2 linked regions of the Lonchura striata genome follow. The protein of the gene in region 2 interacts with the protein of the main gene of each other region in a pairwise test. Links are inferred from orthologs where the notes say so. Each region holds a gene or a part of one and is shown on either strand. Other genes may lie near its edges.

Region 1 (7,725 bases), on a different chromosome or scaffold from region 2:
CTGAAACCCCAGGGAGCCGGCCCGACCAAAGACACGCTGTAGTTGCTCATGATGTTTAGTATTCAAGGACCAAATCCAAAGAACTGATGCCTGCAGAAGAGGATTAGAGTTTTAATTTAAAGGTGATAAAAACAAAAGGCACTGTCCGCAATTTTGGAAACATTCTTTCTTTGGCTATATTCCCCTCCCCCCAAAACAGCCAAAAACCCCACACCAGGTCTGTCATGACTTGTGCTTTTATTCCCTATATGTTGTTTCCCTCCATAGCTTAGGAAGAAACAGAATCTGGAGAACTGCTGCCGCCAAAATATTTGACAACTGCTTTTTACTAGCAAAACACCATGTGGGGCAGCGGTGGTAAAACCATCCAGCATGAAAGACCAGCTTAAAATAAGTCAATATTGAGACAAGCATGAATTGATAGCATCCCTTAAACTGAAGTATGGAAGACATTAGCACTACTAGCACATTCATTTCTAACAAAATTAGTATCATATGCTGCCCTGTCATCAGCTCAAAGCTTATTTCTAAATACAACAACGCCAAAAGCATCACAACTTTGCAGTTAATCAGACGAAAATAAAATCCCTGTGACGTTTTTTATTTTTACAGCATAGCTTCGTAGTGGCAGAACAATATCACAGATGAGTCCGATATTAAAACCAACCCTAAAAATGAAAGCTGTGAACTAAAGCAAAACATCCACAGTTATAATTCAATGCTGAGGAAGCAAAACCCACGCATCTCCCTCTCCAAAAATGTATCCGACAAATTACCTTTAAAAGGCAACAGAGATATTTAAGCGCTGCTCAGCGTCAAAGATAAGGGCTTCAGTTCCACCTTAGATAAGTAATGTTACAATGACATCTTAGGTAGTGGATGCCGTCTATTTTTGTGTAGTTGAAGCCCGGCAGGAGCACACCAGGGCAGGCTGGTGTAAGACTACACCGGGGCACAGCCAGATTCCATACTCATATAGGGACATTTAAGGTGGACCTTCAGGCAAGCAGCAGCAGGCGGCTGCAAACCCCACGGAACTCTGAAAAGCCCAGTTTTGGCTGTTCGCACGCTGCAGGGCGCCACGTTAGTTTCTCAGAGGCGGAGGATTTTTCCAAATGCAGCCCACCCCCGAGGAACATGAGGGAACATGAGAGCAGGGTTGTCGCACAACCCCCATCGATGCAAAGATGTCACCCCCCAAAAAAGTCATCCACAACGCACGTTTTTGGGTTCACCTCCCAAAGCAGCAGAGATCCACTGCTCACACTTTTTTCCTAAATCACACAGTGAGCTTTATTCACACCGACGGCCACTCAGGTAACCAGAGCAGGGCTACTGGCATCAGGCAGCACAAGATATAAATATGTATGTATTAGGAAGCAGAATTTGGAGCTTGTACCAGAGATGCCTGCGTAACTGGGCCATTCCCAACCCACCACTGCCTGCTAGCATCCAGCAAACGGGCAGCTCTGACCCCAGGCGCTGACTCAACCCACCCTTAAAAACCTCGACAAGCATCAATGAACAACAGGGGATGCACACAATATTGAGCTCTCCTGTCGCTAAAGAGGAAGAAAAGTCCCCGCCAAGCTTGAGCTAGGATTCTTAAGAGGCTTCCTCACCACTACAACGAGAACTAAGCTGTTAAATTGTCCTACGCACAGAGTTCTTTTAAAAAGAGGATCTGAATTGGTCACAGATTTCTTCCTGCATAAAAATACACATTCTGTTCACTCCCGCTAAAAGAAATCCACTGCAGTGACAGGTCACTCTAAAATATAAAACTGCAGAAAAGCAAGCCACATCTACTGACCAGCATACAGTGCAGTTGTTTCACACAGGTGAGCAGGCTTTACTTGGCAATTGAAAGCTAAAGCACCTGTGTAGATTTTTTTTTTATTTATTGAAGTTGAGCATCAACTAGTTACTGCTACAGACCCAGGAAAAATAATGGATTCTGTTAGGAATTGATACCATTCTTTTTCATTTGTAGCAACTGGAAATAGGAGGGAAGAAACTGCACTCTGAATTACCGTGCATCACACTCGGCATCACTCATCTTTCTCATCCCTTTAATTCTGGTATATCTGCATCTCTAGCCTGACAGATACACCAGGAAGTAACGGCAAACAAAGAAGACTCGCTCCAAATTTTATTTAACAAATGTCATAATATGGCAAGGCAATAGCTAAAGCAAAACACCGCGAACCATGAAATTCACGTGCGGAGCAAACAAACAAACGTTGTGCAAACAAACCAGCTAAGGGTGAAAATGTGCAACTTTCCTTTAGACGATCAAACGCTTAGTGGACCTGAGTCTGGAAGGGGGAATTTCAAATTCCCGGCCGGAACGGCGGCCCGCACCGCCGCCGCCAGGGCGCTGAGCCGTCGGCCCGCAGCGCCCAGAGGAGCCCTCCCGCCCCCGTACGCCCCGCACCCCGCTCTGCCCACCTCCCCGGGGCGAGGAGCCCCACGGCCAGCGCAGCCTGGGGACCACAACTCCCCGCAGGAGCGCTCGGTCTCGGCTCCAGCCGCTCCAGGGGCGCCCGGCGTGCAGCCCCGCGGGTGCCACAAAGCCCGGGGAGCGGGACGCACCGGAGCCTGTGTCCAAGCAGCCCTACGGGCACGGCTGGGGGCGAGGAGCCCCGCAGGTGTCCCGCAGCCCGGGCGGGAGCTGCCTGCCCTCCTGCCCCGGGCCGCGCCCCCGCCGCACCTCGGCACCCCGGCCGGGCGCTCGGCCACCGCGGCAAGTTGCGCGTCCTGCTTACAGAAGTTAAATGAAACGAAAACAAGCACCGCGGAGCTTTACAAACCGCGCCCAGCCTACTGACTCTTAGCCTGATTCCCCCCCTGGTTATTTTTCTGTTCGCTTTGGCCGCCGCGGCACTCACCCGGCGGCGCGGCTCAGCGCGGAGAGGCGAGGACAGCGCAGCGCGTCTGCGAGGCGGCGGCTCCAGCCCCCGCTCTTGTTTTCACTTCCGTCTCCCGCCGCTCCTCCCCTGGCCCGGCCCGGCCCAGCCCTGCCCGGCCGCGGCGGGACGGGGCTGCGGAGCGGGGCAGAGGCCGGGAAGGCCGCGCGGTGCGCAGGTTTGCTGTGCTGTTTGATTTGTTTTGGTTTGTTTTTAGCAGGGGAGCGCTCACGTTGGCCCCGCTTTGCTTTACGCACACGCAGCTGCGGGCGCACCTGAGAAGCGCGAGGGAAGCGGGAAGGGGCCGCTCCCCTGTGCCCGCCCTGAGGGAAGAGCTGCGGTGCCGGGCAGGGATGGGGGCAGGCTGCGGGGGCAGCCTGAAGCGGAGCAGGACAGCCTACGAAAAGAGGGAGTTTGGCTGATTTAATGTGGAGTAGCGTGAGAAATGACAGGGATGTACCCCCTCCCCCGAGGACATCAAAGTGCGGGAACGGCGGCGAGGCAGAAGAGCTGTTGAGGCTGACAGAAGGCTGGCACAAGAACAAACAGGTGTGGAGTAGCCATGCATAAGTTCAGCTCCGAAATTGGAAGGGATCCGCCAGAAATTAAGGTCTCTGGCACAGCCTCACTGGAGGAGTGCATCCATTAAACGAACCAGGTTCTAAGGTGATGCTTGATCAGATTGTTACAGGACTGATTCTTTAACACGAGGAGTATCCAGCTGGGAATCCATGGAGCGGGGCAGGCTGGCTGGGACAGCACTGCCAGCGCCAGCCAGCGCCAGCCACTGCCGCTGCCTTGGGAGAGGCAGGTATAGGGCAAAGATGAAACAGTGGCACTTGGGAGTCACATCCAGCTGCACCTCACAGCTTGGGGAGGCTTGAGGTTCCTGCCAAACTTCATGTGCGACAAGAAGTCATTACAAGTAAAAATGTCTGTGAAAGAAATGTGCATCTAGTTAACAGTATCATTGTCAGTACGATTCAAACGATTTCAGCACCCTCCTCAAACTGTGGAGAAAGAATGCAGAAGAAAGCTTTAAATTCTTATTACCATCCAACACAACACACAGTCCTCATAATAGACAGCCCTGCCTCACCCCTCTGGCCTAGGGCACTGTCCCTTAGTTTTATTGTTATTTGCACAGCCTTGAGTGTGATTTTGGCCCTACTCTGCCCATTGCTCCCACAGGCTACCCCAACCAGGAGCCCTCAGACTGGAGCTGATGCTGGGTTAGAAGACCTGTGCTCTAGGTGCTTGGGTGTGCATGAAACCAGGGCCTGTCTAATCCTCTGAGCCCTGGCTCAGCAAACCTTAACAAGGGTATTTTAACAGTGTCCCACTGAGCTGTGTGTCTTTAAGTAGGACAAACGCACCTCAAACAGCATCTCAAAAGAAAAGCATCTAAACCTCCCACTACTGCAGCCAAACCACTGTTTCAGAAATTTTCCTTCCTTAGTCTGCTCTTTTTCTATTAAGTCTCTCCAGTTGGGCAAAACTAAAAATCCCTGTTACGCAAATAGACTCTCACATGATTTTAATTCATGGAGGTAAAAATTACCCAACACAGGGATTTTTCATTGTGTCACAAGGGCTGTAGGTCACTCTCAAGCTGTTCTATTAATTAGAGTAGAAAAAGCTGCAGGACCCCACGTCCCGGTGTGACTCATGTGATACCTCCAGTGTCAGCATGTCCCTGTGCTGACTGCCTGGGTAGCAATCTGCTCTCAGCTCACCAGGGCACACAGCCTGTGTCCTGCTTGATTTTGCACTTTGCCATGTTAGTGAAAAACATCCTTTTCCACTTCAGTTCTCTCAAAGCCTTCAGCTTTTCCTGTTGGAGAAGTAGCTTGCATGTGCAGCACTTCAAGACACTATTACATTAATTCATCATGACCGAAGAAGAACGTGCAGAGAGACTTTTGCTGGTTGGTGTTGCAGCAGGTTTCAGCCCCGGCAAGCCTGCATGCAATCTGCTCCATTGCAGCAAGGTCAGTGCCACTCCCAGCTCAAAGCTGGCAGACTCATCTTTAAGTCCGTCATCACTTCGCTGTGGCGAAGATTCACTTCAGTTTGTAACAAATGAATCTGTTTTCCTTTGCCTCCAGACACAGGGCACAGAAATAGAGGCAACACATTAGCTCAAGATCATTCCATTCTTGGTCACTTTTCAAATATTGTCCTCTTTGAGAGAAAGCTTTTCATTAAGATGAATAACGAAATTAGAGATAGTAAATTGAGCAAGAAACCTTGGCAGCAGCTAGAACTGTGGCCTGCCTGTTCTTCCTACCACTACCAGATTTTAGACAGAGCTTGCATTTTCCCCTCAGAACAAGGAAGGAAAGCGTCTGGAAATTAATTAAATACAGTAGTCAGCTAGCCAGGCAGATACAGCCTATCTCAGAATTACTCAGGCACTTAAGTCTCGTTTAAATGCTAATGAAATGCCTTAGGTGCCATGTAATGGGCCCTACAAAACTGACAGAGAATATCACCTGCGGTGGTGAAGTACAAAAAGCTATTTGTAAATTAAAAAGTAGCCCATAAATTATGAACTGATTAACAATGCACAGTCGAATTGTTTTTAATTAAACACCACTTAATGTAATATTACCTTTCTCTGTGCTAAAGCATTGAACTACAAGCTGTGCTTTTACTGCACTGCTTTCACTTTTGCTTTTCTTCCAAAGGTAAAGCTAGTGTAAATATTTACATTCAGTTTATAACTCGTGTTCACCAACATAAAGTAATCCTCTCTCTAAAGAGGTAAATGTGAATATCCCCTACAGCATAACAGCTTATTTGCAGTTCCAAGACAGCTCTGTGGCCAAAAAATACAAGGAATTAGATAATTTCTATGTGTTTCTGAAAAGCAGGGGCTGCAGTCAGCTTTTGACAGGGCAAGCTCTTACATTTTGGTCACAGTGAAGCCCAAATTACCTAGAACTGGTATTGCGGAAGAACTTTTATTTTTCTGTTTGTTTGGTATTTTGTGGTTTTGTTGTTTGTTTTGTTCTGTTTTTCTTTTTCCTGTCCCTGTTTTGGAAAGATAGCCTGTGCTGAATTGCATCCTTCCTCGTGCATCCTGTCTACCGCAGTAAGTCCAGTCAGCCCAAAGACTTCTTTGCACGGGAGGAGCCATGTGGTTGAGCAGGGTCGCTGGCAGGAGGTTCAGAATCCAGCCAGATGGGCAGCTACACCCACCAATTCACCTTGGAACGGTTTTGTCAGCCAAAAAAAAAAAAAAAAAACAAACCGTCACGGTCAAGTTTTCTCTGACTTGTCACCTTTTTTTTCTCACCTCTTAGAGCCTGTTATCCCTCCAGGCGTGCTGACCATCTTCACCACTTGTCATCAGCCCGTTTTCTCACTGAACATGTTTTCTTGTGTTACTTCTGCTGTAGCTGTGTCCTCTCTGACAGCAGTTTGCTCGCCATCTCGTCGATCCAGACAGCTTTTAAACTCACGTTTTTCATCAGATTGAAAAGTTAACAGTGTTGGTCTTCCCACTCTAGCCTTTGAAGCTCTTAATGTTATAAATGGATTTATTTGTATTTTTTATACCCTGATTTATTTTTTATTTTAGCTAATCAAGCCTCCTTTAGTTTTTATTTATTGGTGCTTTTATTTGTAAAGAGAAATTAATATTTACTAATAAGATACTTCTTATTTACAGTCTCTCTAGAATTTTGGTAAATTGCATAAACAGGAAATGTATTTTATTACTGGACTCCTTTGTAGTGACTGAGCAGACTCATTGGAGCCTGATCAGTCCTAGTTCTAAGCTAGGAATATCTGTTTTGTTCCCTCCTCCTCAAGTAAAAGAAGGACCACCTGTGTGGATGTCACAGCCCATGCCACAGGTTAAACATTTCTACTTTGTGTGTCCAAACCAATGAAACAGCAACTAAACCTCTTCATTCCAGGAAACACAATTAACCTTTGCAGAAGCTTAAGGTTATCTTCTTATCACATTAAACACGGCCCATTTTAGGGACTGAAATCAATCAGAAGCTTCTCAGAACATCACAGCCTAAACAGTTTCATGCTTAGCCCTGCTGTGAGGCATTAGCCTCATTTTACAGATGGTCACCAGAGGCAATAAACATTTATACATACAAGGAATCAACTGTCAAAGAATTGAAACCAGTTCTTCCAAATTCTTTTTCAGCTACTAACAACTAACCACTGGATTACTCTACCACAGGCTGACCATGCCCCTTCTACTCTTCAAATGGAGCAATACATGGGAAGAAAAACCGAGAGGGGAAAAAAATCAAACTTCGTATTTACCATTTTTGACAGAGTTATGGGAGTAATGCCTTCAATTATCCCTGTTCTTACCTATTGAAGCAAGCTGCCTGCCCTGATTTCCTTTTCTTTCATGGCAAGGAATGGTTAATGCAGAAACCTGTGGCCTGGTGTGGTTTAATTACAGTCCCTCAGGTGTGCAGGAAGGGTTTGCTGAGTGATGTCTTTGAGCTATGTTTGAGATCCACCACAAATCCCAATTAAGTAGGGTTTGGCAGGTAAACAGCCAAACTTTCAGAGAGATCCTTGCAGGTATTTATATTAATTAATGCTATGGGAGAAGAGGTGCAAGATTGCCTTGGCGAGGGAGAGAGTGGCTGCCAGCTGCAGCACCAAGAGCCTGGCAGGTCAGGAGCAGCTGGGCACAGGGGTTTGGACAGGGGGCACAGCAGGGGAGCAGGCAGCTCCCCTGCTTTATTTCTACCAGCACCACTCACTCACTAAAGCACAGGCTTTTTATAGGGTCTGTTCTGCTGCTCAGCCTGGACACCCAGCAGACGTCATT
Region 2 (7,178 bases):
TGCTGTAGTTATAGAAGAAGCCAGGGTTTGCTCCTCTCCCATGGCCCCTCATCATCCCACGAAACCCACGGCCCCTAGGTCCTCTCCAGAAGTTATCCTCTCCTGTTCCACGCCCCCTTCCACGGCTGGGGCAGGCAAACGGTCCTTGGACTCTGGCTGGCAACTGTTTAATGCACCTCGTTACTACGGAATTACACAGTCCAGCACACGCTGCTGCAGACTTTTTAATGACAAGTGTGTCTGAATCTGAACTATCAGAGTCTGAAGAGAAGCTCTGTGCTTTGGGAGCTTTGGTGCTGGCTTTTACAGCCACCACATGGTTTGGCACCGATTTTTCCTTTGCGGTGCTGTCTTGTGCTGGTGTCACCGTCTCATCCTCTGTACTCGAGTCAGAATCTGAACTAGAAGACCGGGGTTTTTTAGCATTTTTACTAATTGCAGTCTTAGTCTTTTCAGTGTTAGACTTTACAGTCACTTTATTAGTTTTCACATGAGAATCTGAAGCAGCTTGGGATTTGTCTTTGGGAAGTGTCACCACTACAGGTTTATGGGAAGATTTATTTTCCTTTATATTTAATTCACTGCTGTCACTGTCAGACGATGTGCTGGATGAATCTGAAGCTCCCACCCTCTTTTTCCTGGACTGTGTTGTGATCTTTTTGGTGCTATTTTTACCAGAATTTAGAGAAAAACTCTCATTTGCCTGTTCTAAAGACATCTTTGCTGCAGCAACCTTTGTCTGATTTTCATCCTTCTTTTTTGTTGCCAACTGCTTCTCCCTCTCTGTTTTTTTCATCTTTTTAGAATGGGAAGTAGAGCTCTCTTCCTTACCTTCTGCAAGCATATTTCTTCCCCTAACTTCTTCCTTTCTTTTTCTTTTCGTGTACCTTTTCTGAGAGTCCCAAGTATCTATAGAGGTCTCTTCCCTACAAGAGGAATACTCAAGTTTACGCTTCTCCTTTTTCTTTTTCCTTTTATGCTTGCCTTCATTCCTAGACAATTCTTCCTCATCCTCCTTATGTCTGTGCCTTTTTTTGTCTTCTTTTGTTGTGTAACTAAAGCCATCATCTATCTCTTCATAATCATCTGCAACTATCTCTTCCAATTTTACTCTGTTAAAAAAACAAACAAAAGCCACCGTTCAGCATAATGAACACTTTTCCCCACACGTGAGCAGCTCAGGCAAGTTCCCCTAGAGTGGAGATGCTCCAGCTCTTCCCTGGACAGTCCAGAACCCTCCCCTGCAGGCACAGGCTCCCTTTCCATCTTCAGGAACATTTCCAACTGCTCGGCTCCCTCCATCCTTTTGGACATCCTGAGGTGTCTCAGGCACTGGGAGTCAGTGCCCATGGGCACCCCGCTCCCACTCCACTGCCCAGGGAAGGAAGAGCTCAGACCCCCGGGGAAGTTCCATCCCCGTCCCACCAAAACCACGTGGAGATTCACTGAATCCCAGAATGGGTCAGGCTGGAAGGGACCACAGTGGGGTCATCTGGTCCCACCTCCCTGCCTAAGCAGAGTCATCCCAGAGCACAGGGCTGTGTCCAGAGGGCTCTGGAATATCCCCAGTGAGGGAAACTCCACATCCTCTCTGTCCCAGCACAGGGAAGCAGCTCTTCCTCCCGGTCAGGTGGAACTTCCTGGGCATCAGCTCCTGCCCGCTGCCTTTCGTCCCACGGCTCGCACCACCGGGCAGAACCCGCTCCGGCCTCTTGGCACCGCTGACAGACACTGATGAGGTGTGAGTGGGACCGACCGCCGATCCCGCTGTCCTGATCCCGGTCCCGGTCCCGCTCTCTGTCCGACCCCGCTGTCCCGCTCCGTATCCCGCTATCCCTATACAGGTCCCACTGTCCCTATCCCGCTCTCTCTGTCCGATCCCGCAGCCCCGGTCCCTGTCCCGGTCCCTGTCCCTGTCCCTGTCCCGGTCCCTGTCCCGGTCCCTGTCCCGGTCCCTGTCCCTGTCCCTGTCCCTGTCCCGGTCCCTGTCCAGGTTCCGGTCCCTGTCCCGGTCCCTGTCCCGGTCCCGGTCCCTGTCCCGGTCCGGTCCCTGTCCCGGTCCCTGTCCCTGTCCCTGTCCCGGTCCCTGTCCCTGTCCCTGTTCCTGTCCCGGTCCCGGTCCCTGTCCCGGTCCCTGTCCCTGTCCCTGTTCCGGTCCCTGTCCCTGTCCCTGTTCCGGTCCCGGTCCCTGTCCCTGTCCCGGTCCCTGTCCCGGTCCCTGTCCCTGTCCCTGTCCCTGTCCCGGTCCCTGTCCCGGTCCCGGTCCCTGTCCCGGTCCCTGTCCCTGTCCCTGTTCCGGTCCCGGTCCCGGTCCCTGTCCCGGTCCCTGTCCCGGTCCCTGTCCCTGTCCCTGTCCCTGTTCCTGTCCCGGTCCCGGTCCCTGTCCCGGTCCCTGTCCCTGTCCCTGTCCCTGTTCCGGTCCCGGTCCCGGTCCCTGTCCCGGTCCCTGTCCCGGTCCCTGTCCCTGTCCCTGTCCCGGTCCCTGTCCCGGTCCCGGTCCCTGTCCCTGTCCCTGTCCCTGTCCCTGTCCCGGTCCCTGTCCCGGTCCCGGTCCCGGTCCCTGTCCCGGTCCCTGTCCCCATCCCTGTCCCTGTCCCGGTCCCCATCCCTGTCCCGGTCCCTGTCCCGGTCCCTGTCCCGGTCCCTGTCCCCATCCCTGTCCCTGTCCCGGTCCCCATCCCTGTCCCGGTCCCTGTCCCGGTCCCGGTCCCTGTCCCGGTCCGGTCCGGTCCGCACCTCAGCGAGTCGTTGTCCCGCACGAGGCGCGCGCTCTCGGCGGGCGGCAGCAGCGCCCCCTCGAGGAAGAGGCTGAGGCGGGCGCGGCGGCTGAAGCCGAAGCGATGGCGGATGAGGCTGAGCAGGTCCGTGACGAGCCGCGCCTGGCCCGGCTCCAGCAGCAGCCAGCACAGCGCGCAGCCCGGGCTGGCCGGCGGAGGGTGGTCGAACACCAGCCGCAGCCGCAGCGGGCCGCCGCCGGCCGCCATCGTGAGATGGAGGAGGAGGAGGAGGAAGAGGCGGGGCGGGGCGGGGCGGGGCCGCAGGGCGGGCGGGCCGGTCCCGTGACCGCGGGAGCTGCGGGAGCGATGGGGCCGCTGCGGGCCGGGACCGCGCTGTACGTGCTGCTGCTGGCGGCAGGTACGGGCCGGGCGGGACGGGAGCGGGGCCTCTGGGCACGGGGCTCCGAGCAAAGCGCTCCTGTGTCCCGCAGCCGCTGCCGGGCAGGGCCCGGGATGAACCGCGCGAAATTCCGCTTGCCGGGGTGGCGGCCGGGCGGGACGGAGAGGGTAGTGGCAGTCCCGGCGGGAGCAGCAAAGCCTCCTTGGCTTGGAAAAGCCCTACTGCTCCTGCTCCATTGCGCTGTTGCCTTTTGCCCTGATCATTGAGATTAAGTGATGGAGTGTCAAAGGTCTGTTCCGTGCCCGAGATGGGCAGTAGACTGACTGCGTAAGGTGACCAGACTTTACCGACTGAAATTCTGTTTTGGATTCCTTTAGAAGTGACCCTCTGTCTGCCTGCATCTGCTCTCCTTGGGGGCTGTGAAGCGGTGCGGTCCCCGCACATCCAAGTGCTGGGATGAGTTCGGTTGTCGGGTCATGGGGCCAGTAACTCTAAGGCTCCGGGTTCGATCCCCGCCCGGCCCGTTCACGAAACGGTTGGACTCAGTTTTTTTGGTCCCTTTCAGCTCAGAATATTCTGTGATACTTATCGAAATTGCAGCTGGTTATGGGAGTTATTTCACTGGGGCTGTGCCTTCAGCCCAGGCCTTGAAAACACATCAAGAACAAATCATTCCAGCGATTTGGCTGTTATTCTGGCGGCAGCTCTCTTAATTACACACTTCATGACAATAACTCGGGTGTGGGTGTAAGTATAGGCAGATTTCTTATAATAATTTTCTTTAATAGTAGTAACGTTTCTAATTATCACACTCAAGATTGAAATGTAATGTTTTGGAACGATTCTGGTGGAAAGTCCAAAGCTGAGCCTTTTTACTTAGCTGATTGTTATTGTTTCCCCTCAAGGCGTAGTTCTGAGGCAGCCCCAAGAACCCAAAGAGGTGTGGGGATATGTGGATGTTCGGAGCAAGGCCCACATGTTCTGGTGGCTCTACTATGCAAATAACCCAACCAAAGACTTCACAGAGTTACCTCTTGTTTTGTGGCTTCAGGTAAGGTTTGGCGAGAGACACCAAAGCAATAATTCTTTCCATCTGTGCCTGGTTCAGTCTGATATCTGATATTGTGCAGCTCTACAGAAACAGGATTCAAAACTGCCTAGTTCTAAATGCCTTGCCTTGTGAATGAGGTATTCGGGTTGGGAAAAATGAGAGTGGTTTCATTCTGCAGTTGTGGGATGTCCTCAACTGCTCACCTTCCATCAAGTTTGATTGCAATAACAGAAGTTGTTCTTATCTTTCATACAACAGTAGTGATTTTTGTGCATTGTAATTTCACAGCTCCTTTCCTGAAGAGTTTGTAGTCTAAACAATATTCAGAGAGAGAAATAAAATAACCAGAGATTGAGGATGATTTCTAAATGGAAACAATCCCAGTTTGATAAAAATGGTGGTGTGTTCTCTACAGTACATTGCAGAAGTTAATGTTGAATAGAATCGCTTGAGGACTTGTTCTTACTCTCTCTGGATTGTTTCATCAGAGTGAAACCCAAAGGCTGTACATGCTGATTAAGCTAATGACTTGCAAAGTCCCAGTTAGCAGTTAGCTTTTGCACTCCATATTCAGGGAATAAGGTTTTGAAACTGTGCTCAAATAGCAGGCAGCTCACCAGAAGCTCTCACAAGTGGGTGACTGCTTCTCTGTTGAATTCTTGCTTTCAGAAATGGCATGTGTGTGCATAGCCCAAGACCATGAGGAACAGATCCTGCTCTACAAATTAATGTGTACTGCAAAAACCATTTCTAAAAATTTACAATCTGTCATTCTACTTACTGGCTGTCTTGTATTTTTCTTCCATCTGTCATATCTGTGCCATGCTGCCTTTTAACATCTGTGTCATTTGATATTTCCCTGCAGGGAGGTCCAGGAGCTTCAGGCTGTGGATATGGGAACTTTGAAGAGATTGGTCCATTAGACAAAGAAATGAAACCAAGAAATACAACCTGGGTACAGTAGAGAGTTCAGCTTCTAACTACTAATTACAAATGTTTGTTTGCTTGTGTGAGCAGATGATGACTACACAAAAAAAGCACGGAACAGTTTTTCATTTAAAGTTCAGTAGAACTATAATATTTCAAGTTAAAGTATTGTGGTTAATAAGTTAGCTGATAGGAATAGCCTTGTTCAAAACTGAGGGGTAGACATTAATTTGATTTGATAAAGTATGTCTGGTCTTCCATGGAACTGTGAAATGGGAAACAGAGCAGGGAAATTGTAGAAAGTGTTCTTTCAAATCACAGCTCCATTGTGTGCAGTCACAGAGTTTTTTCTGGGTGGCTGGCAGCGTAAAACCTATGGCTTATAATTACAGGTCCAGTATGGCCTTCAAGGGAGAACAAATGACAGCTGCCTGTGAAGGTGGAAGTTTAATTAGAGCAATATATCTGTGCCCTGAGTTACCAATAGACTGAAGTACTCGGAGTTCCCCTAGGTGACCTGCCCCTGGATCACTGGGAGTTTTTTTGGCTGTATTTCTCATTACAGATTGGGCAAATTGAAGGCCTTTATGTTGCACCTAATTTTTCTGCAAGTCTTTTCAGGTCCAGGGATTTGCTGGCTCAGTTAATCATTTGTGCCATCAAAACTAAGATTTTTGCTGGTGCTGAACTGAGGTTTTATACAAACTTTTCTGCTTCTGCAGTTGCAGGCAGCCAGTATCTTGTTTGTGGATAATCCTGTGGGCACTGGATTCAGTTATGTGGATGATTGTAGCTTGTTTGCCCAAAACCTTACCGCAGTAGTTTCTGATATGATGGTTTTTCTTGGAGAATTCTTCAAGGGTAGAACAGAATTCCAGGTAAGTGAATTGAAATCTTGTTTATTGTTGTATTTTTCTCTGCTTTTAAATATAATTCAAAAAGAATTAGGGAACAGACTTCCAAATGAACAGTGTTTTGCTGCTAGGTAGTGTGTGGTGCAAATATAACCACTGTCTCTTATTTTCCACATTTCAGAAGTTGTATCTTGATTTTGGGGTTTAGTTAGATAAGCATTGGGGTGGAGTTCTGTCTGTTGAGTTATCCGAGCAGCATATACAGGATCACAGCTGCTTATAGTTCCAAAATGCTTCAGAACCAACCCCAGCAAATCACCAGGATGTTATGGAAACCTAATGTGCAGCTTAAAATAAGAAAAACATTAAATGTTTGAGGATGAGAGGTGAACAGCCAGTGCCTGGGTCCTATGGGATCTGGGAGATGATTGGAGGCATCTTCTGCCCTCCGCACAACAAGTTCCTTGTGTGGTTTTTCTCTCCCCAGACCATCCCATTCTACATATTTTCTGAATCTTATGGAGGTAAAATGGCTGCTGGGGTTGCTTTAGAGCTGCACAATGTAAGTACTTGAAGAATAAAGTTCACTTTTCACTTCAAAACAGGGGGTTCTACAGGTACTTTTATTTTCTGGAATACACTGTCCCTATTGCCTAATTCACAGTGCTACTTACTTTTTTCACTTAATGAGAACTGTTTCTAGAGTCACGAATAACTAAAATTTAATTATTGGTGTTTTGTTTTGGTTTTCCTCTTATTCACAAAGGCTGTTCAAAAAGGGACCATAAAGTGCAATTTTATGGGCGCTGCTCTTGGAGACTCGTGGATTTCACCTTTGGGTATGTTTAAACTCCTCAGACTGTGGATGATTTGTTGTTGTTATTTTGTTTTGTTGGGTGTTGTAATCATTCCATGAGTACCTGAAGTCAAAAAGGCCATCCCTGCCTTAAGTGAATTAACTCTCTAGTGAGTCTGGTAAATCAAAAATAAATACTACAGCCTTGCAAGTCTTCTTGTGACTGATGAATCTCTCTTTAGAATGTATCTAGATTAGGAAAAGTCAGAGAGGAAGGTCAGCGAGGAACACACTTGCATCTGAAGTGGAGGGGATGGTAAAATGTTCCTACACATCTCCACAGCCTCTGAGGTGTTTTTGGCTGAAATGTGGCCACCAAGCCATTCATGAGGCTGCAAGTGAGATTTGTGTCTGGTGAGGATAAAAAGCAAGT

What was found. The genes of interacting proteins can lie anywhere in the genome.
Region 1: the proteins of COIL (region 2) and PDLIM5 interact in binary tests that used the Homo sapiens proteins (3 or more experiments, as listed by UniProt). The two-hybrid records come from large-scale screens. The link is inferred for Lonchura striata from reciprocal best matches to the Homo sapiens genes COIL and PDLIM5.

What each region holds. Positions count from the first base shown.
Region 1 is NC_134606.1:51,585,243-51,592,967, forward strand, and holds the start of PDLIM5 (PDZ and LIM domain protein 5), read right to left. Parts: upstream 3,019-7,725; 5' UTR 2,892-3,018; intron 1,007-2,891; exon of another isoform or gene 777-1,006; intron 91-776; 5' UTR 51-90; coding exon 1-50. UniProt on the Homo sapiens protein: May play an important role in the heart development by scaffolding PKC to the Z-disk region. May play a role in the regulation of cardiomyocyte expansion. Isoforms lacking the LIM domains may negatively modulate the scaffolding activity of isoform 1.
Region 2 is NC_134621.1:7,704,907-7,712,084, forward strand, and holds the start of COIL (coilin), read right to left. Parts: upstream 3,013-7,178; 5' UTR 2,985-3,012; coding exon 2,737-2,984; intron 1,113-2,736; coding exon 1-1,112. Other genes in the region: SCPEP1 (retinoid-inducible serine carboxypeptidase), read left to right, coding at 3,084-3,135, 4,023-4,168, 5,034-5,123, 5,818-5,973, 6,437-6,511, 6,716-6,788. UniProt on the Homo sapiens protein: Component of nuclear coiled bodies, also known as Cajal bodies or CBs, which are involved in the modification and assembly of nucleoplasmic snRNPs.